Cricetulus griseus: one gene and its partners. The protein of the gene in region 3 interacts with the protein of the main gene of each other region in a pairwise test. Links are inferred from orthologs where the notes say so. Each region holds a gene or a part of one and is shown on either strand. Other genes may lie near its edges. The genes, in order: Sertad3, Necab2, Kpna2, Maged1 and Nmnat1.

What was found.
Region 1: the proteins of Kpna2 (region 3) and Sertad3 interact in binary tests that used the Homo sapiens proteins (3 or more experiments, as listed by UniProt). The two-hybrid records come from large-scale screens. The link is inferred for Cricetulus griseus from reciprocal best matches to the Homo sapiens genes KPNA2 and SERTAD3.
Region 2: the proteins of Kpna2 (region 3) and Necab2 interact in binary tests that used the Homo sapiens proteins (3 or more experiments, as listed by UniProt). The two-hybrid records come from large-scale screens. The link is inferred for Cricetulus griseus from reciprocal best matches to the Homo sapiens genes KPNA2 and NECAB2.
Region 4: the proteins of Kpna2 (region 3) and Maged1 interact in binary tests that used the Homo sapiens proteins (3 or more experiments, as listed by UniProt). The two-hybrid records come from large-scale screens. The link is inferred for Cricetulus griseus from reciprocal best matches to the Homo sapiens genes KPNA2 and MAGED1.
Region 5: the proteins of Kpna2 (region 3) and Nmnat1 interact in a two-hybrid assay, tested with the Homo sapiens proteins (3 studies listed by BioGRID and IntAct). The two-hybrid records come from large-scale screens. The link is inferred for Cricetulus griseus from reciprocal best matches to the Homo sapiens genes KPNA2 and NMNAT1.

The regions. Positions count from the first base shown.
Region 1 is NC_048602.1:8,447,589-8,451,603, reverse strand, and holds the start of Sertad3 (SERTA domain-containing protein 3), read left to right. Parts: upstream 1-1,206; 5' UTR 1,207-1,348; intron 1,349-1,470; exon of another isoform or gene 1,471-1,589; intron 1,590-4,015.
Region 2 is NC_048596.1:196,098,517-196,102,029, forward strand, and holds part of Necab2 (N-terminal EF-hand calcium-binding protein 2), read left to right. Parts: intron 1-1,560; coding exon 1,561-1,682; intron 1,683-1,811; coding exon 1,812-1,891; intron 1,892-3,513. UniProt on the Homo sapiens protein: May act as a signaling scaffold protein that senses intracellular calcium.
Region 3 is NC_048600.1:119,941,125-119,944,637, reverse strand, and holds part of Kpna2 (importin subunit alpha-1), read left to right. Parts: intron 1-66; coding exon 67-335; intron 336-673; coding exon 674-768; intron 769-857; coding exon 858-1,121; intron 1,122-1,417; coding exon 1,418-1,651; intron 1,652-1,921; coding exon 1,922-2,104; intron 2,105-3,513.
Region 4 is NC_048604.1:75,451,559-75,455,773, reverse strand, and holds the start of Maged1 (melanoma-associated antigen D1), read right to left. Parts: upstream 2,806-4,215; 5' UTR 2,640-2,805; intron 2,095-2,639; 5' UTR 2,066-2,094; coding exon 2,021-2,065; intron 1,326-2,020; coding exon 624-1,325; intron 64-623; coding exon 1-63. UniProt on the Homo sapiens protein: Involved in the apoptotic response after nerve growth factor (NGF) binding in neuronal cells. Inhibits cell cycle progression, and facilitates NGFR-mediated apoptosis. May act as a regulator of the function of DLX family members.
Region 5 is NC_048595.1:6,903,367-6,907,459, forward strand, and holds the start of Nmnat1 (nicotinamide/nicotinic acid mononucleotide adenylyltransferase 1), read left to right. Parts: upstream 1-1,293; 5' UTR 1,294-1,987; coding exon 1,988-2,012; intron 2,013-3,035; coding exon 3,036-3,101; intron 3,102-4,093.

The DNA of each region.
Region 1 (4,015 bases), on a different chromosome or scaffold from region 3:
TCCTAGCGCTTGAAGACTAAAACAGGAGGGTAGAGAATGCCAGGGTAGCTTAGGCTAAATACATAGCAAGAGCCTGTTTCAGGAAACAACCAAAAAAATGTCTGGAGACGTAGCTCAGAAGTAGAGTGAGTGCTTTGGCACTAGGTCGGCGCTGTGTTCCCTCCCCAACACCAAAAAAAAAAAAAAAAAAAAAAAAAGAAAAGAAAGAAACAAAGGGGGGAATTTTCTGGGGCTGGAGGGGCACACCTGTAACCCCAGCCAGAACTGAGGCGATGGGAGCAAGGGAATTAGAATTTCAAGGCCAGCACTGTCTACAACACGAGCCGGGAGCTTGCACACGACTGTCTCAAAACAAAACGAAACCTGAAAATGAGTCCTGGGGAACAGGAAGGAAGGCACCCCAGGCCAGATCGTGATAGGGCAAGCTCACCCGTCACTCTGAGACCATGTCACAAAATAAGTACAAACTGAAAAATCTTAGGGGCTATGTAGCTCAGTCCTACTACAGCGCTCAAGTCCAGTGCCCAAACCCAAAAGATAAATTTGAGTTTGTCCCGAGAGTTGCGCGGAGCGATGAAGAGTGAGCAGCAAGAGGCGGGCAACATGATTTCGAAACCATGGGGCAGCCTGGGATCCAGGAGCTCCCACCAAACGGGCAGCGGACCCCTCAAGATTAAGCACCGACTGCGCCTACAAAACGGCTGGGGAGCTGGGGGAGGCAGAGCGAAGCCTGCCAAGGGGCGGGGCTGCGGTCGTCCAGGTAACGCAAGCCGCAATACGCGATTGGCTGATATTTAGTGCGTCACTCCCTCCCCCCCTCCGCTTAGCCGGGGCGGGGGCGTGGCCTCCGCGGGTTTGCCCAGCCTGCAAAACCGCAAGGGAGGGAGGGAGGGGAGTGTGGTGTCACCCGGTGTGGCCCCGCACTGGGGTCTGGCCCGGGTGTGTAAGCGACCTGCGGAGAGACAGAGGAGCAAGAAACACAGCGGGGTGCAAAGAAGCCGTGCGCACGGCCGGCGCCACCCTCCGCCACCGTGCTGGCCCGCCCCGCCCCCTGTTAGTCGCCAGCTTAAACGGGACCCGGCCCTGGAGGGGGGCGGAGCCTAGCGCCCGTGGCTCCTCCTAGCCAATGGCGCCCCACGGCGGGCAGGGTTCCAACCAATCGTGGCTCGCTATGGCCTGCGGGGCGGAGCCGAGCGTCTCCCCGCCCCCGGCCCCCCGGCCCCCCTCCCACGGCCAGACCCGGAGGCCCCGGGGAAAGTGAGCCTGACTCCTGGCCAGCTCTGGTGGGACGCGGCGCCCAGCGCGGGGTTGCCGGAGGTTTGCAGTCGAGGCGACCGTGGCGACCGAGGTGATTGATCAGTGGCCGCCTGGGTGGGGTTTGCTGAAGTTGCAGGAGGGGGAGGAGGGGGAGGAGGAGGGGGCGCGCCCCGGGGTGGGGTGGGCGGAAGCGGGGTAGGGACCCGGGCGGATTGGTGTGGCTGAAGCCGGATCCCAGCATCAGCACCGGAGGGGAGGCAGGATGGAGCTGGAGGACCGAGGGGAACCGGAGGAGGAACTTTGGAGCGGGGCGACGGCTTGGGTGTCCCCGGGTGGGCAGAGTGCGGAGTGGCTCGGCGTTCTGGGGAGCGAGTGAGAGTTCCAGGGCTGCCGCCGCAACCCCTTAGATAGAGGAGCCCGGGAAGAACGCGGGGCACCCGGGGCTGGGCTTCCGAGACGCCCGTCTGAGAAGGGGATGATGCCTGGGGAGGAGTTCCGGCTCGGGGTCCTCCGACCTTGCAAAGTAAAGCCGGGGGGAAGTCATTTCAAAGTCGAGCCACGAACGGGGGGACGCTGGGGACGAGGTCTCAGAATCGAGGTCCCCGCTCTCCCCCGGCCGGACTACCGTAGTCAGTCGTTCACCTGCTCTGAACGATGCGATGCGGGACTCCGCACCCCGAGGACGCTCGAAGGAAGAATCCAGAAACTTCCTGGGGTGATAGGAACCCGGAGAAAGCCCTTTTCGGGTGGAAGGCGGGTGGGGGAGGGGCGTGGAGCTCAGATTCGCCGCCCCGAAGGCAGCAGAGGGCGGGGTTCGGCCGGTGCCCGGCGGCTGGGCGTCCGGGTCCCTTCCCCCCGCCACCAACCAGAGCTCCAATGAGCATGCTCTCGGGCAGGGCGGGTGTGTCCAGGCCCCCCCAGCGCGCAGCGCCTTCTGGGGATTGTAGTTCGAGAGTGACAGCAGCGGCTCTGCCTGTGGTCTCTGGGTCCACAGCTCCCAGAAGGCCCTGAGGACATATTGGGGTGTTCTTGGATCTGATCTAGAGATCCAGGGAAGGGCGGTGCCTATGAGAAAGGACTGTATGGAGGGCACAGCTTGGTGTTGGTTCAGTTCTATCCGGTTGAGGAATGCAAGTTTGGTAAATGCTCCCTCTCTTGTGAAAGCTCCTGGTCTTGGTGTCGGAAACGTATATGGACAGAAATATCCTTGTAAAAAGAAGAAAATCACACACACACACACACACACACACACACACACACACACACACACACACACACACACACACACACCCTCAGTTGGGCATGGGGTTGCACGTCCCAGCATTTGGAAAAGAAAGGCGGTAGGATATGAGTTCTAGGCCAACCTGACCTACAGGGGAGGTTCCAGGGCTACACAGAGAAACCTTGTCTGAAAAGAAACAAAAACAAAACAACAAATCTAAGGTCCAGAGATATGGCCATGCCTCTTGCCAAGATCACAGTTCAAACGCAGAGCTCAAATGTGCTTTCGGTCTGTGGCTCTGTACTCCATACTTGGCTGTCCTGTGACTTGTTAGGGAAAAAAAAAAAAAGATAATAAAAGTATTGCTGGAGAACAGTGCAAGATCCATTGAGATCAGAGTTAAGATCCTCACTTTGCAAATGCTGAAATTGCTCGTCAGAGTGTAATTTTAACATCGTGACTGCCGCAGGCTAATAAGTGATATTCAAGCCAAGTGATATTCAAGTGTTTGGTGATTTGTTTGGGGGCTTTTTGTTTTTCTGAGAGAGGGCCATCTGACCATGAGACTCTGCTTACCCTAAGATTGGATACGTGGACTAGGGTGGTCTTTATTTTTATTTATTTATTTTTTGACTAGGGTGGTCTTGAACTCACAAAACTCTACCTGCCTCTGCCTCCTGGTGATGAAATTAATGGCATGGGACAGCATTGGCAATTTTTTTTCTGTTTATTTTTATGTTTTTAATTTTAGGTGTATGAGTATTTTACTTGCATGTATGTATAGACACCACTTGTGGCAGATCCCCTAAAGTGGAGGCATAGGTCCTCTAAAACTGGAGTTTTAGACAGCTCAGAACCATCACGTTGGTGCTAGAAATCAAACTCAGGTCCTCCGGAAGAGCAGCTGGTGTTCTTAACCACTCAGCCATACCTTTTATATTTGAGATGCTATCTAGCCAAGGATGACCTTGAACTCCTGAACTTTTCTGCCTCCTAAATGCTCTTACACACACACACACACACACACTCACGCACGCACGCACGCACGCACGCACGCACACACACACACACACACATTCTCTTTCTCACTGATCACTCTGTGCTACCCTACTTGCATCTTGTTTTAATATACATTGTTGTTTTGCCTGCATGTATGTCTGTGTCTGAAGGTGTCAGATAGATCTTGGAGTTACAGAGAGTTGTGAGCTGCCCTGTGGGTGCTGGGAATTGAACCCGAGTGCTCTGGAAGGGCAGTCGGTGCTCTTAACCACTGAGCCGTCTCTCCAGCCCTGAATCTTGTTCTTTTAATCAAATAGCATACATTTATTCACCATTCTTAGCCTTGTAGGAGTCTGACTATATGCACTTTTAAGTAGAGGTTCTGATCAAAGGAACCAACCAACCCTCCCGTAACTATACAGTCTTGCTTGAAAAAGTGGGATCCAAAGGTATCCAAAGGCATGGCTGTCTCATGCCTTTAATTCCAGTACTGTGAGGGCTGGGTGGATCTCTGAATTCGAGGCCAGCCTGGTCTTA
Region 2 (3,513 bases), on a different chromosome or scaffold from region 3:
ACTCAGGAAACTCCTATCTGTTCAGATCAGAAAAGGGGAAATGGGACCCACACACAGGCGGGCAGCTGCCAGGGAGCCCATATCCCTGGGCTATCCAGCCTTGGCTTTATCAGTGTACAACTTCAGGGTGCCTGGCAGAGGGGCATAGTGGGAGCAGGATGTTCTTTTGCTGTGGGGTGGGGTTTGAGTGGGAGTCACTTGGTCAGTGAGGACCTCAGATAGGGTTGTGAGGGGTTCTTAATGACATTGTTGCAAAAATGTGTTTGCTGTCAGCACTTGAAAAATGCAGTTCATGACTCTGTCCATGTGGGCAGCCTTGCAATACCAAGTCCCCAGTGTCATCGGCCACCATTCTGGGGACAGACAGCTTTCCCTTTATTGATTTATATTATTATCTTAATCAAACTTCCCCTTTTCCTCCTGCTGTGGACAGATAGCAGCCTTGGGCAATTTTCCTGGCTGCCTTCCTACGCTCTGTGGCTCTATCCATGGTTCCACCCGCCTGCCCCCACTAGGAGGGGATAACTCTGGGGTGTCAGTGGAAGGAGTGGGTGGTGTGTCTTGATGGGAAATCTGTTCCGTGCCCACAGACACCTCAAACTGCCCCACATCTAAACACTTTTGGCTACAAGCCCTGAGTTCTCTTGCACTACCCTCTGTCCCCACCATGGAGTAGCCCCCAAGGGTGCTGTGTTCCAAGAGAAGCTGCTTGAGGGGCCTCCCACTCAACTCTTCATGGTCTGAGGGACACACTGAATTTGTTACTGGCATGTAGAAATGTGTGTGTGATAGACAGCTCAAAGCCTCCGCTAGCCTTGTCTCTCTGGGGGAGCTGAGCCTGCTTCCTCAACACAGGAGAAAGTCTCGTTAAGCTTTCAGGAGTCACAGGAGACAAATTCAAAATGGGATAGGGGTATCAGCCACATACCCCATTAACTGCAATATCTGTAGTCAGTTTTGCAAGCCCATCTTTGTGCATAAGGAATTGGCTGTTCACCCCGAATTTTTGGAGACCCTGCTGGGTGCCTGTCACTGTGTTAGGGGTGAAGGGTGCCAGGTGAGTTATGTGCATGGGGGAAAGAGGACATGGGGACAAGAGATGGACTCTGGCTCTGGCTAGGTTCAGGGTATTTTCTTGCTGCCTTGTTGGGGGTGGGGTGTCTCACTGACCCAGGTCTTCCTCCCCAGAAGTCACTCCACAGTCTCTACTGAGACTAGGAAGGAGGAAGCTATGAGCTATGAGATCAGCCAGATAGGTTCCTGGCCCAGCCATGAAAATGAGCCTATGGGACACAGGGTCTGGCCTCAAGAGTCCTGGCTTAGAGCTATGCCCCAGCTGACCACATGGCCTTGGCCAAGTCACCTGCCTCATGGGTGGTTTCCTCCTGTGTGAAAATGAAGGTCACTCTGACCATCCTGCAGATGTGGTCCCACAGGGCAGGCCTGTGCACATTTCAGGGCATGGCCAGTGCTTCCAAAGTGCATGGTGAAGGTTGTAGAGGTGATCATGGTCCTACAGCTGCCCTCATCAACACCTTGTTTCTCCTGTGCACACTGCAGACAGGAGCACTGCAAACCCAGCCACGGCATCACCGAGAGCCACTATGGAGGCCCCAGTCCTCCCTACATCCCCAACCACAAACTTGTTCCCCCCGAGCCAGCCGGGAAGAGCCTGTCTGTGGGTAAGAAAGCATCAATGGGCACTACCCTCCAAGGGGACCCAAGGAATCTCCTCTAGGGCCTAGCCTGGGGTTGGGGCTCGGCCTCCTCAGGATGGCCCTGCCCACCACCAGGGTCTCTCTGTTTTTCAGCCACAGGGGAGCCAAAGGAGGAGGGGCTGGAGGGCCAGATAAGCCGGTTGGCAGAGCTGATTGGGAGACTGGAGAGCAAGGTAGGCCCACCCCAAGCCCCTTTCACCTTTCTCCTGTCCACTTTAGAACTTGTTTGCTGGGGAGGTTGAGGTCACCCTGGTGGGTGGGAGGTTGTACAGAGTTGGACTGAGGCCATGGTCCTGACTATGGGAGGGCAGGCAGCATTCCAGGTGCAGAGTAATCAGTAAGGTCCTATGCTGTTATCATTTCCAAGAAAGCTAGCTCCAAGACAGGAGGCAAAAAGCAGGTGTGAGTGGGACTCCGCAATGGTTGGAGGCAGGTTCCAGACAGGAGAGTGCTGACCACACAACACAGTCCAGAAGTGTGGAGCTAGGGACAGTGTGTAACTTGAAGGACTCCCACAGGGGCTTGCAGATGGGTGGGCTCAGGTGTTCCTCTGCTGGAGCTGGGTTTCTGCTCTTTGGCTCCATTTGAGTCAGTGGCTTGCTCTCTCTGAGCCTGACACGCCTGCTCTGATGACAGCGGAGACATCTAGGCGATCAGTGTTCCTCACCAAGGTGCAGGTGGCTCAGGTCAGAGTCTGATGTCCCTGTTAGCATCTAACCTTAGCCATGTTAGCACTGCTGTCATCCTTTACCAAATTACCTACACATGTGCCCAGGGCTCCCATGCACATGCTTACACCGAGTGAGTGACAGGTATCTCGGAGCCCTGGGATTGAGGTAACATTTCTTCTGTTTTTCTGTATTTCTTTTGCAAGGAGCTCTGGTACTTAGCTGGTTTGGGGCTTTGTTCTGAGGGACTCATGGGCGTGAAGCAAGGGCCTCCTCACTGGAAAGCAGTCTGATGGGAGGAAAGGCTGTTGGTGGCTCAGCTGCAGGGCTGTGACTGAAGCGGGGGTCCCCCTCCCACACCCCTTTTAAGCCTGCTGCCCTGCCCAGGGTGAGAGCAGCATGGTGGGGACCTTGTGCCCGGTTGTCATAACAACTCAGTGGGTGCCCCAGGAGGGAGGCTCTTTGAAGCTTATTTTTAGTACCCCGGTCGCCCTAACAACCAGGCTGCTGGTAACCAGGAGCACCTAGGCATCCTGGAGATGGGGCGGGGTCCTCCAAGGTCTCTGATTGGCCTAAGCCATTAGTATGGGCAGATTCAAGCCAGCTCCAGGCTTGGCCCCCCAGATAGCCAGGCAAGGCTTCTAACTGTGCCTGGAGAGCAGGGAGGATGGAGGTCCTTGGTAGCAGGTCTGGGTACTGCTGGGCTGGCCATCTCATTGTAGAGAGACCAAAGGGCCCCGGCCTTCCTGGAGCTGCCCATGTGCCTGTTAAGTGACAGAAACAAGCTTGAATCTTCGAAGACATCTTATCTACTTGGCCCTTTCTTGAGATGTACAGACAAGAGGTCAGTGGAGACTAGAGGTGTGATTCAGAGGCAGGCCCTTGTTCAAACTTGAGAACCAACCACCCACCACTGTTTTCTTTAACAGTGGATGCACCTCTTGCTTGTTACATGTAGCTGTCTTCGGGCAGGGCAGACAGGCACAGAGGCTGTGATTGTGAGGTACCCACATTGTAGGAAGAATAGAGGAGACATAGGTTTAAACTCAGGCCCTAATAATCCTTAACTCATCTGAGCCTGGGGTTCTGTGCTGTGACATAGCAATGACTGGACATCAGTGTGGCCC
Region 3 (3,513 bases):
CTTTATTTTCAAGGTACCTTGGAAATAAACTTCAACTTTTGATTTTCTTTTTTTGTTTCCCCTTAGGAAACTGCTTTCTAGGGAGAAACAACCTCCTATAGACAACATCATTCGGGCTGGTTTGATCCCAAAATTTGTGTCCTTCTTGGGCAAAACGGATTGTAGTCCCATTCAGTTTGAATCTGCTTGGGCACTTACTAACATTGCTTCTGGAACGTCGGAACAGACCAAGGCTGTGGTAGATGGAGGTGCTATCCCAGCATTCATTTCTCTCTTGGCATCTCCCCATGCTCACATCAGCGAGCAAGCTGTTTGGGCTCTTGGAAACATTGCAGGTACTTGTACTTAAAATTCTTTGGACTGAATGTAGCCAGTGTGATTAAAGGACACTGTTAAAGGTCCTGGTGACTTCTGGGTGGGGCCTTGAGCTTGCTCTAGGCCCTCCCATATTAGGAGGGGAAGAGGCATCTCACCATGCTGCTGGAGAAGCGATTGAGTATGTGACAGTCATTCAGTAGCAGATTCACTCATTCATCGTGTTTTTTTTTTTTTTTTTTTTCTGAAACTGGGTCTCACTGCTTACCACTGACTGTAGACCAGGTTAGCTTGGAACTCACAAAAATAGATCCTAGAATTAAAGGTGTTCACCAGCTAATCTTGCTTTCTGTTTCAGGTGATGGTTCAGTTTTCCGAGATTTAGTTATCAAATATGGTGCAGTTGACCCACTGTTGGCACTTCTTGCAATTCCTGACCTGTCTTCCTTGGCAGTAAGTTAATACCATAAATAAAGTATTTGGTTCTTATTTTCCCCATCTACTCAGAAATGAGCCTTATAATTAACTTTTCTTCCCCACAGTGTGGTTATTTACGCAACCTTACCTGGACACTTTCAAACCTTTGTCGCAACAAGAATCCTGCACCCCCCCTAGATGCTGTTGAGCAGATTCTTCCTACTTTAGTTCGTCTTCTGCATCACAATGACCCAGAAGTATTAGCAGATTCCTGCTGGGCTATTTCCTACTTGACTGATGGTCCAAATGAGCGGATTGAAATGGTTGTAAAGACAGGAGTTGTGCCCCAACTTGTGAAGCTTCTAGGAGCCACTGAGTTGCCAATTGTGGTAAGTACTGACCTTTTATTTACGAGCTTTAATAGTACAAGAGCATAATCAGTTGGTAGTATTGATACTGCCTGTGACTTTTGTAGAAGTTTTTGAATAGAGAATTTTTAGGGTGATGGTGGCACACACCTTTAATTCCAGCACCGAGAGGCAGAGGCAGGCGGATCTCTGAGTTAGAGGCAGACAGACTCCAAAGCCACAGAGAAACCCTGTCTGGGGGGGGGGGAACGAATTTTTAGAAGCCTGGAAGAATAATACCATGTAACTAATCTGCAGCAACATTTTTTCTATTTCAGACTCCTGCACTCAGAGCCATAGGGAATATTGTCACTGGAACAGATGAACAGACTCAGATTGTGATAGATGCAGGAGCACTTGCAGTTTTTCCCAACCTGCTAACAAACTCCAAAACTAATATTCAGAAGGAGGCCACGTGGACAATGTCAAACATCACAGCTGGACGCCAGGACCAGATACAGCAAGTTGTGAATCATGGCTTAGTCCCATATCTTGTTGGTGTCCTCTCTAAGGTAATGAAGTGAGTGTAGGATGTAGTCAGAAGATTGTTAATATTTATGACAGCCTATATGTCTTTAATCCCTGGGCTTGGGAGGTAGAGACAGGAGGAGGATCTCTGAGTTTGAGGACAGCGAGCTTCTGTTAGGTAACAGGCAGCAAGCACCTCCTAATGTTGGGTAGAACCAGCAGGTAGTTTAGTTCTGTCTGTGGAACAAACCCTACCTTTTGGAGTCTAACCTCTCGGGTTTCTGAACTAAAACCATTTTCTTCTTGCTTATCAGGCAGACTTTAAGACACAGAAGGAAGCTGTATGGGCTGTAACCAACTACACCAGTGGTGGGACTGTTGAACAGATTGTGTATCTTGTTCATTGTGGCATAATAGAACCTTTGATGAACCTCTTAAGTGCAAAAGATACCAAAATTATTTTGGTTATTCTTGATGCCATTTCAAATATCTTTCAGGTAAGTCCTAACAAGGCTGTGTGTTTGAATTGAGTTGATAGTTACTATTTAGGACTGGGGAGAGGACAGGTAAGTTTGATTACTAATAGTCTGCAGAATCAGAAGGGTGTTCATGTGCAGCCTTACTTTGTACATTTACTAATGAATTCTTAGTGGGGCAGTGGTGGCGCAGGAGGCAGAGGAAGCAGATCTCTGTAAGTTCAAGACCAGCCTAGTCTACAGGGCTCAACAGAGAAACCCTGTCTCAGAAAGAAGGAAAAATTCTATGTGGATCGTGGCTGGAGTTATACTGGTGTGCTGACCACATAGGTGCTGGGAATCAAACCCACATCCTCTGCAAGAAAAAAAGCTCTTAACCACTCACTGAGCCACTTCTCTAGCTCCTTTAAGGATGGGAAGGTGTCAAGTGGCCTAGGCTAGCTTGAACTCCCTATATAGCTGGAGATGTCCTTGAATTTCTTTCTGAGCCTATTGCCTCCACCTCTCATGGTTTTCACCACACTCCACACTCAGTTTTATATGGTGAACTACCTCACTAGTCCCATGGTTTGATTTTGTATTTTGGTGCTCCTGCCTGCCTGCCTTTGTAGCCGTTGCTGTTCTGGAACTTGCTCTGTACATCGAGCTGGCCTCAAACTCAGATCTGCCTGCCTCTGCCTTTAATCTTTCCCGAATGCTGGGATTAGAGGCCTGTGCCACTTCCACCTGGGGATTTAATTGAAATAAGTGTCGTTCCCCGCCCCCCAGCCCTATCCCTATTTGATTTCAAGTGTGCCAGCATCTGACATTTTGTGATAGTATTTCTACTAGTTCTGGAACTTTTCAAGTTGAGTGTAAGTTGGTATTGGTAGCTCACACTTAAAATCCTAGCACACAGGAGGACTGTGATGAGTTGAAGACCAGCCTGGACTACATAGTTCCAAGCCAGTCTAGATTATAGAGTAAACTAGAACTTTTTACAAAAGAAAGTTGAGTCTAGAGAAAGGAGTCACTGGTGTTTCATGCCTACATGTATGTAAATCTTTGTCATGTGGCCAGGTTTCCTGCTCACAGGAATCAGTTAAAAGTTGAAAATTTGGGGTCTGGTGTTGGTGGTGCACGCCTTTGATCCCAGCATTCATGAGGCAGAGGCAGGTGGATCTCTGAGTTCGAGACCAGCCTGGTCTACAAGAGCTAGTTCCAGGACAGGCTCCAAAACTACACAGAGAAACCCTGCCTCGAAAAAAAAAAAAACAACAAAAAAAAGTTGAAAATTTGGATGCCAGGTAGGGTGGGTGTTACTTGCCTTTAATCATACCACTCAGGAGGCAGGCAGATCTCTTGTTCTCTATAGAGCAAGTTCAGGGTAGCTCGGGCTTCATAGAAACCCTGTCTTGAAAACAACAAAAAAAGTTGTTTGGAAGGAATCT
Region 4 (4,215 bases), on a different chromosome or scaffold from region 3:
TGAAGCTAGTGAGGCCCGCCTTTGATCCCCACTGCTGTTCTCTTCCACATTCAAGTTATTAATCTGCATCGTAAGAGAAAAGAAAATTCCAGAGTCACTATTAATCCTTGGTCCTCCCAGCAGCTAATCTAGGAAGTTCCTATGAATTTTCCACCTATAAGGACATTCTGACCCTTCACTAGTCATCGGTCACTTTATGTTTATTTTTCATTGTCTTTCAGGTGGGAGATTCATGTCCAAACCAGACCAAGAACAACCATAAAGTGGGGACTAGGGCTTCTCCTTTTCCTGTGTGACTACTGCTATCATCCTGAATTCAAGCCATCTCATTTCATCCTGTGTTTTCTCTAGCTAGTGAGGTGAAGCTTCAATGATAATTTGGTGTGAGCCAGCCTAGCTTACGACCTCACCCATGGTGTTTACTGTCAAAATGTAAAATGACCTATACACAGGTGGTACGGTGATCCAGATTATCTGTCCTTGTATAAACTCACCATCAACCTGTGGACAATCAGGGGTCAGGAATAAACATTTACCTCAACACCCCCTAAAACCTAGCCCCAATACAGGTATATGCGCCCTTTATTTTGTTTGGAGCTAAGTAAAGCTAGGAGGGATCTCACCTTGCGGGTCCTCTTGCCCCGAATTATAGTCCGAGACTCCACATTCTGAGCCTGGGAGCCATCGGCTGAGGTCTGTGCAGCTGCACCACCAGTTTCAGAGATACCTGGGCTGGTCCCTACATTAGCCATTTTGGCCTGGTTTACATTCTGGATCTGGGCATCAGCTGCAGGGACCTTAGTGGTATCATTCCAAGCCTTAGTAGCTGTCTTAGGCTGGTTGTTGATCATCTCATTGGCACTGGGAGACTGAGAGAAATTGTAGGTGGCACCAGGGCCTGCCTTAGTAGTGGTATTCTGGACCTTAAAGGCTATTTCAGACTTTTTAGCTGCTGATTTGCCTGTGGTTGCTCCGTGGGAAAAATTAGAGGCAGCATTTGGCCCTTTAGAGGTGCCATTATGTGACTTATAGGCCGCCTTAGACTGGTTCTTGGACATCTCCTTGGCATTACGTGCGTGAGAGAAATCATTTGGACCCTTTGAGAAGGTATTCTGGGCTCTAAAGCCTGTCTTAGGCCTAGCAGCTGCTGTTGAAACCCCAGTATCAGCCACCTGATTGGCAGTTGGGGGCTGTGAACTCTGGGGACTAACATTCTGCCCACTGGCAGCTGCTGTGGCCTGGTTGGTGGGTGGAGCCTCGGAGATCTGGATGGCTTCCATCAAGGTCTGCACAAGCAAGGCGCTGTCTTCTACAGAGGCCTCAGCCTGCAAATACAGGAGGGGGAATTTCAACCTCTGGGCCTTACAAGCCAGATCAGAAGGAGGGGCATACGCAGCAGGGGAGCTGTAGACACGCATCGCAGTTCACAGATCTGGGGGCACAGAAGGGTCAAAGGGAGGCGGGGTGGGAACAAAATTTGGTTAAGAATAGAGGGGGCAGGACAAGGTGAGGGCAGTCAGAGGCAGCAGGGACTGGTGAGGAACCGTGGTGCAACCACTGACCCCAAACAGGTTCAGAGCCGGACTGGTTAGGCTTGCGGTGGGGAGCTCAAGACCCGAGGAGGAGGAGGGAGGAATCGCGGAGGATAAGCAGGGAGGGTGGAGGGGGAGTCTCGCGGCGTGGAGAAAGGGAGGGTGGAGGCGAGAGGTTGGGGGATGGGGCGACAGACTGCTCTACACGCGTCAGGGTTATGGAAAAAAAAATGGTTCCTTACCCAACCCGCATTCTCTGGGCAGAATGCCCTGACTAACAGGGTCTCCCCTTTCTCTAAGCAGGGACCGATGGCTGAAAAGGGACGCCCCTCCCCCCATTCGATAAACGCTAGACATTTGAGAGCCAGCGGAGTCTAGGCCGGAAGAAGGGCAAAATCAGAGCCTGCCATTTGTGCCACCAAAGGGGCCGGGGGGTGCGCGTAATCTGTCAGCAGGGAAAATGGAGGAATGGGGAGCGGGGATCTCACCTGGTAGCCGCGGAGGCCTGCACCGCCGTCCGGTTTCTGAGCCATAGCTCTTGTGTCTCTGGCAAGAGCAGAGCCTAGGGGGGTGTGGGAGAGGAACTAGGCATTACACTACAGAAGGAAAATACGTAGGGCCGAATTGTGTGTGCGTGTGTGGTTTGATGCTGGGGGCGGGTGAGGTGCTGGATAAGGGGAGAAACAAGCCTAATCAGAGCGGGAAAAGTAAATGAGCATCCTGATGGGCAATTTAAAAATTCCAGAACCCGATAGGGAAAAGCTTCAAATCCGCGTTCTGGAATCTGATAAGAGCTCTGAATGCGGCAGTTTTCGGGGGGCGGGGGAGAGCGAGGGGGAAAAATTCGCTTCTGGAAAGTTGGATTGAGGTTCTCAATCAAAAGGAATCTATAACGGATCAAGGTCGAGAAATTTGAGGATTCTGTGAAGGAATGGGATAAGGATTCAGAGAATGAACGGGGTTCTAAATTAGATGGGGGGGGGGGTAAGAATCAGGGATCGGGTAGTGGAGGGGGTTTCTGAATCCAGGGTAAAGGGATTGGGATAAAAGAATGGGGGAAGGATGCCACACCAGGGGGCAGATGCCCAGTCTGGGGGCTAATCTCACCTTGCCTCAGGCCCCAACCCCAACCCCCTTGCTGTCTCCCTTCTTCACGACTCAGAGGATCAGGATTGCTGTGCTCGGCTCTCAGCAGCCGCACTCTCTCCTTGTCCAGGAGAAAATGCCAGCGCGGCAGCTCGGGCGACCCCGCCTCTTCGCCTAATATACCACCCACCGCCTCAGGAAGCCTCGCGCATGCGCAATAGCTAACTGTCCAAATAAGAGTCCCGCTTGCTTTCCCAACAAAAGCTTCATCCTAGAGACCTTGTCGCGCATGTGCACTTGGAGGAGATCCCGCCTCTTTGCCAACACACTATCCCACCGCCAACCAGGTTGACAGTGTACGAAGGTTCCTCCCCTTCTTCTTACGCACCCACTCCTCCAACAGATGCGCAGCGCCTTTTGGTCCCACCCCCTTGCCCAACACACCAGCCCCCTACCTTTATCCGCAATGCGTCTCTCCTCAGTCCCTCCCTTCCCCCCCCACCCAGGACTCTCTAGCCAGGCCTGCAAGTACCTCCCACCCCTTGCTTAGGGCCTCTTAGGTAGGCCTCTGCGGGGGGTCTCTTAGTTCGCTGCAAGCTAGGCCTCTGCTGAGTTCACCCACTTTGCAACGCAGGAACCTTAAAGGTCGGCCTTGGGGGGGATACATTCCAGGAGGTAGCAAAGCAAGTGCCAGCCAGGGGGTAGATTTCCTCTGACCAGACTCAGAAAATGAGCTTTTCTCTTGCCGCCCTCCCCACCCCGTTTTCTTTTTATTTATTTATTTATTTATTTATTTATTTATTTATTTATTTATTTGCAGTTTTGCCATGGAAACATTTCATGAGGTGTGGGCCAGAGAGGGGAGGGAAAGGCATAAGGGCAGTGGGATCTGTCCTGGAGCTGGTTTTTCTCGAACATCAGCCCTAGAAGATTGATGGAGGGCAACATCTTCATTTTGCATACCAGGTAGCTAAATCATAAACCCACTGTATGAACCAGGGCACTGAGCAAGTAACAAACAGAGAGGGCAAAATTTGGCACAGCACAGTGGTGCACACTGGTAATCCCAGCACTCTGGAGACTGAGTGAGGAAAGCCACGAGTTCCAGGCCAGGTGCACAACGCTGAGACTTTATCCAAAAACCAAACATGGGGCGGGGCGGGGGGGTGGGGTGCGGATTTTCCTGACTGCAAAATCTATATAGCTATTAGTGCTGGTCTGAGAATCAAGACACCCCTTAATTTTTCATTGAAATGACAATCTTTCCTCTCCCCAATATTTGTTCCAAGTGGACAAAGCCTGTGTTCTAAGAGGCCTAGTATATGTGGGAACCCTTCAGGTTCACTCTGTACTCCCGTTGGCAGGCACTTGCCCAGAGTGAGACCCCAGGACTTGATGATGCTTGCTTGAGGCCGGAGCAGTCAGGTGTGTCTGTTCTGTTCTTGCAGAATGAACCTCGGCTGGGCTTTAGAATTGCGTGATTAGTGTCGGGACTATCTGTCCCTGGTTATGTGAGCCCCTGAGAATATAGTCACTTTAGTCAACTTTGGTAAGCCTGGTTTACTGACTACCCAAAATAAGAATCACAGAAAGGGGG
Region 5 (4,093 bases), on a different chromosome or scaffold from region 3:
TCACTTGGAATCTGGAATAGAACTCCAGTTGCCAGGCCTGCCCAGCAAGCACCTTTACCTGCTGAGCCAGCTTGCTGGCCCAACACTACTTACTGAATGAATAACTAAATCCAGAACTTTAGTATAACTATATAAACTGTTACAGGTCAGGCATGGTGGCCCATGTCTGTAATCCCAGCACTGAAGGCTGAGGGGCAGGAAGATTACCATGACTTTGAGGCTAGCTGGAATACACAGTGAATTCAAGACCATCCATCGCAAGAAACGGCCCACCCCACCCACTCCAGAAGAAAGAATGAGGAGGGGAAGAAAGGAGAAAAATGTGATTTATTTTACTAGATTTGGCCTTAGTTTCACATTCTGATTGTAGGATAACTATAAGGGTTGCTACCTAAGAAATTTAAAAGATTCTCTTCATTTAACATTTGGTTTTATTTTTAAAGATGGTGGCAAACCCAGGGCATCACACGTGCTAGGTGAACATTCTACCATTAATCTGCAACCCAGCCAACCATCAGGAGTTTTCAATGTGGTTTTTCTTGTGCGCCAGTCTGTGAACATCTGTAGAGCAGAAACCTCTTAGCCGCTTTTGTGCCCACAACCTGTATCTATCAGATAATAGACACCTGCTGGGTACTTACGGACAGCTCCACACCTACCGAGGGTGAAGAAGGTGAGGACGATATTGCTAGTCAAGTTGGCCAGGAGAGGCTGACTGCAGTGCCTCGAGGATCTGGGCCTGGAAAGCAATTCACAGGCTGGTGCCCTTCATCCACCACCCACTACACAGTCCTGTGTCTGAGGTACATCAGCCCCCTTCATGCCCCAGCTCTAACAATGGCTTCAAAACTAGGAAATGATGCTAGTTATAAGGTCCTAATCCTTATTTGATGGTTTGGTAAAAATACTTTGTAGAAATTCTGACCTTTGGGAGTAAAGAACTGTGCTGTGTGGGTACAAGCCTCCTGTGGTGGACTTGCATTGTGGAATTATCACCAGCTCACACCTTCTCTTTGTATCCTCATCAAGTCAGTTTTCTGATTTTTGTAGAACTTCCACATCTTTAAGATTGTAATTCTTTGATGACTGTTCCTCCTATTGCCTCTAGGCATGGCACTAGGATTTTAGGTCATCATAAATTAAAATTGGTTTTTTTCACTCAGAGAATATCAAGGTAATGGGATTATCTGTATATTCTCTGAAATTTGTGGGATCAAACAATTACAAAAAACAAAACACACACACACACAAATATTGTGACTCTTTATATTAAGTAAGTGGATTGTGCTTGCTTTGCTTCTCCAGTGAGGGTTATTAGTGAATGGTCTCTAGCCTCCACCATTGTTAGAGGACGGTCTCTAGCCTCAACCGTTGTTAGAGGACGGTCTCTAGCCTCCACTGTTGTTAGTGGATGGTCTCTAGCCTCCACTGTTGTTAGCGGATAGTCTCTAGCCTTCACCGTTGTTAGTGGGCAGTCTCTAGCCTCCCCTGTTGTTAGAGACGGTCTCTAGTTTCCATGACTAAGCACTAGCACTGAATCTGAATTGAACATCAGTTCAGAATCCAGTTGGTTGACTACTCAATTCTGCCCTCAGCTCTGCAGACATTAGCTGACGCTTAGGCCCTTGGGACTGTCCTCCCATGATGGAGACATTGGTGTCTTCACTGTCTCCCATTTAATGGCCTCTTACACTGGAAGTAAATATTGGTTAAAAGTTAATCCTAATCTGTCCAAATCTCTGCAACCTTCTCTTTACTGAGATTTTCAAGAATGCAAAGAGGTGGACTGGATGGCCACCAATAATAGGAGCAGAAACAATGGGGCAGGCAGCAGTTAATTGAGTAACAGGAATCTCAGGGAGCCCCCGCCCCAAACCCACAGGTAAGGCCTGTGAGACTCACCGCAGCAGCACATAGAACTGGAGCGTCAGGGTGCCGATCCCAAACAGGAACACCATCACCTGGCTGCACGGCACAGGGATACCTTATGACTTCACGGAACCACACTCAAGGTGTGTTTCACACTGATTAAATCACAGAGAGTTTTTTCACCCAGGCAGAAGAGAATTGCCATGCACTCCCCTGGCACTGCACCCTCCAATGAAACGTACCTGTTAACACCTAAGTGAAAAGCTACCAGCTGCCAGTATTCAGCTCTCTGGGAAATCTGTAGGATTGGATTCCTTTACCGTAATTAAGTTAATGTTAGGAAACAACACACAAGTAGTAGGAAGTATTAATTCAAAGTAAGCATAAATAGAAAAAAACTATAAAATGATTATTTGAATTGGATAAATATATTGAATATCTTATATGCATTATCTTATTTGATATTCACAAAGTTCGCCGGGCGTTGTGGAGCATGCCTTTAATCCCAGCACTCGGGAGGCAGAGGCAGGCGGATGTGAGTTCCAGGCCAGCCTGGTGTCCAGAGTGCCAGGATAGGCTCCAAAGCTACACAGAGAAACCCTGTCTCGAAAAACCAAATATCTATATATTTATTTACAAAGTTCTATAAAATAAGGACTATGTGTGCGCGCGCATGCGCCACACACACACACACACACACACACACACACACACACACACACACACACACACACACACACACACACACGCCCTGCCCTTTTCTTTTTTTATAGTAGGGTCTCACTAATTATTCATGGCTGGCCAGAAACTCCCAGTATAGACCAGGCTGGCCTTGAACTCACAGAAATCTGCCTGCTTCTGCCTTCTGTGTGCTGGGATTAAAGACAAGCACCATGGGGCTGGAGAGATGGCTCAGCGGTTAAGAGCACTGGCTGCTCTTTCAGAGGACACAGGTTCAATTCCCAGCACCCACATGGCAGCTCACAGCTGTCTGTTACTTCAGTTTCAGGGGATCTAACACCTTCACACCAATACACATAAAATAAAGTTAAATAAACTATTTTTTAAAAAAAGAAAGACAAGCACCATCACCCACCACAAGAGCCAGTGCACACACACACTTTTATTATTATTTTTTTAAGACTAAATCTTACTATGTTTCCCAGGTTCTGCTTGGACTCCTGGGCTAAAGCAATCCTCCTGCTTCAGCTTGCCTAGCCCTGGGACTAGAGGTACATGTCACTAAGACTTGGGTCCCATTTTAAAAATGCAGAAACCAGGGTTCAAGGACAAACAGCAGCAGTAAGTGAAACAGCTAGGATTCTCGCCCACACCCCTGGCAGCCTTGCCTGCTGTCAGGAGCCATACCAGAATCACTGTTGACTGCTGCAAATGTTAATCATTAAATAATAGTCCGCCTCCTCCCGCATTAGCTGTTTTTTTATTAATAGGGGTGAGGCCCAAAGGACTTCAGGGTGTTCATAGAAAATGGTTGTTGATACCTTCCAAATCTACACTATGTATAACAGCTGCAGCAGCTTCAGAACAAGGTGAGGGGTCAGGCTGAAAGTTACAACAGCGCGTCCTTTCAGAGGGTGGTGGTGAGAGGCGGTCTGGCCAGGCAGGTCGTTTAACTGTGGGCCAGCATGGCTTTAGACTGAGCATCCGGAAATGGGACAAGGAGAGCCAGCAGAGTCACAGTGGTCTTTGAAACAGTGGTAGCTGTGAGTTAATGCTTCCATCATGATATCTTTAAAACTCAAAAGATGGGTGATTTAGAAGTAAATTTTAGTTGGATCTGAAGACTGCCCCAGGAAGCAATGAACCTTTGACACAGTGTGCTGGGGAGGAACACTTACAGCCTGAGCCGATGGGACCTCGGCAGCCAGCAGTGCAGGTGATAGGCTGTGTGGACCAAACAAAAGTGAATCATGGCGACACTGGTCCGGCAGCATTCAGAACAGTTCTGTCTGAGACTCCACACCCAATGTTACCGCCATGTTGGACAGGTCACGATGTAGGAGCTCACTGTAACTTAACCCTCTGTGGCTTGGAGAGTCTAGCTAAGGTGGCTGAGTTGGTAAAGCCGGGATGGATATATGAGACAGGTCACCAATGTGATAAAGGACAAAGACTGCCTCCTGTACTCTGAGGGATCAGCTTCCACCAGCCTCCTCATTCCCCAGGGGAAGGAAACCTGAGGTCCTCCTAGAGCACTGGGGCT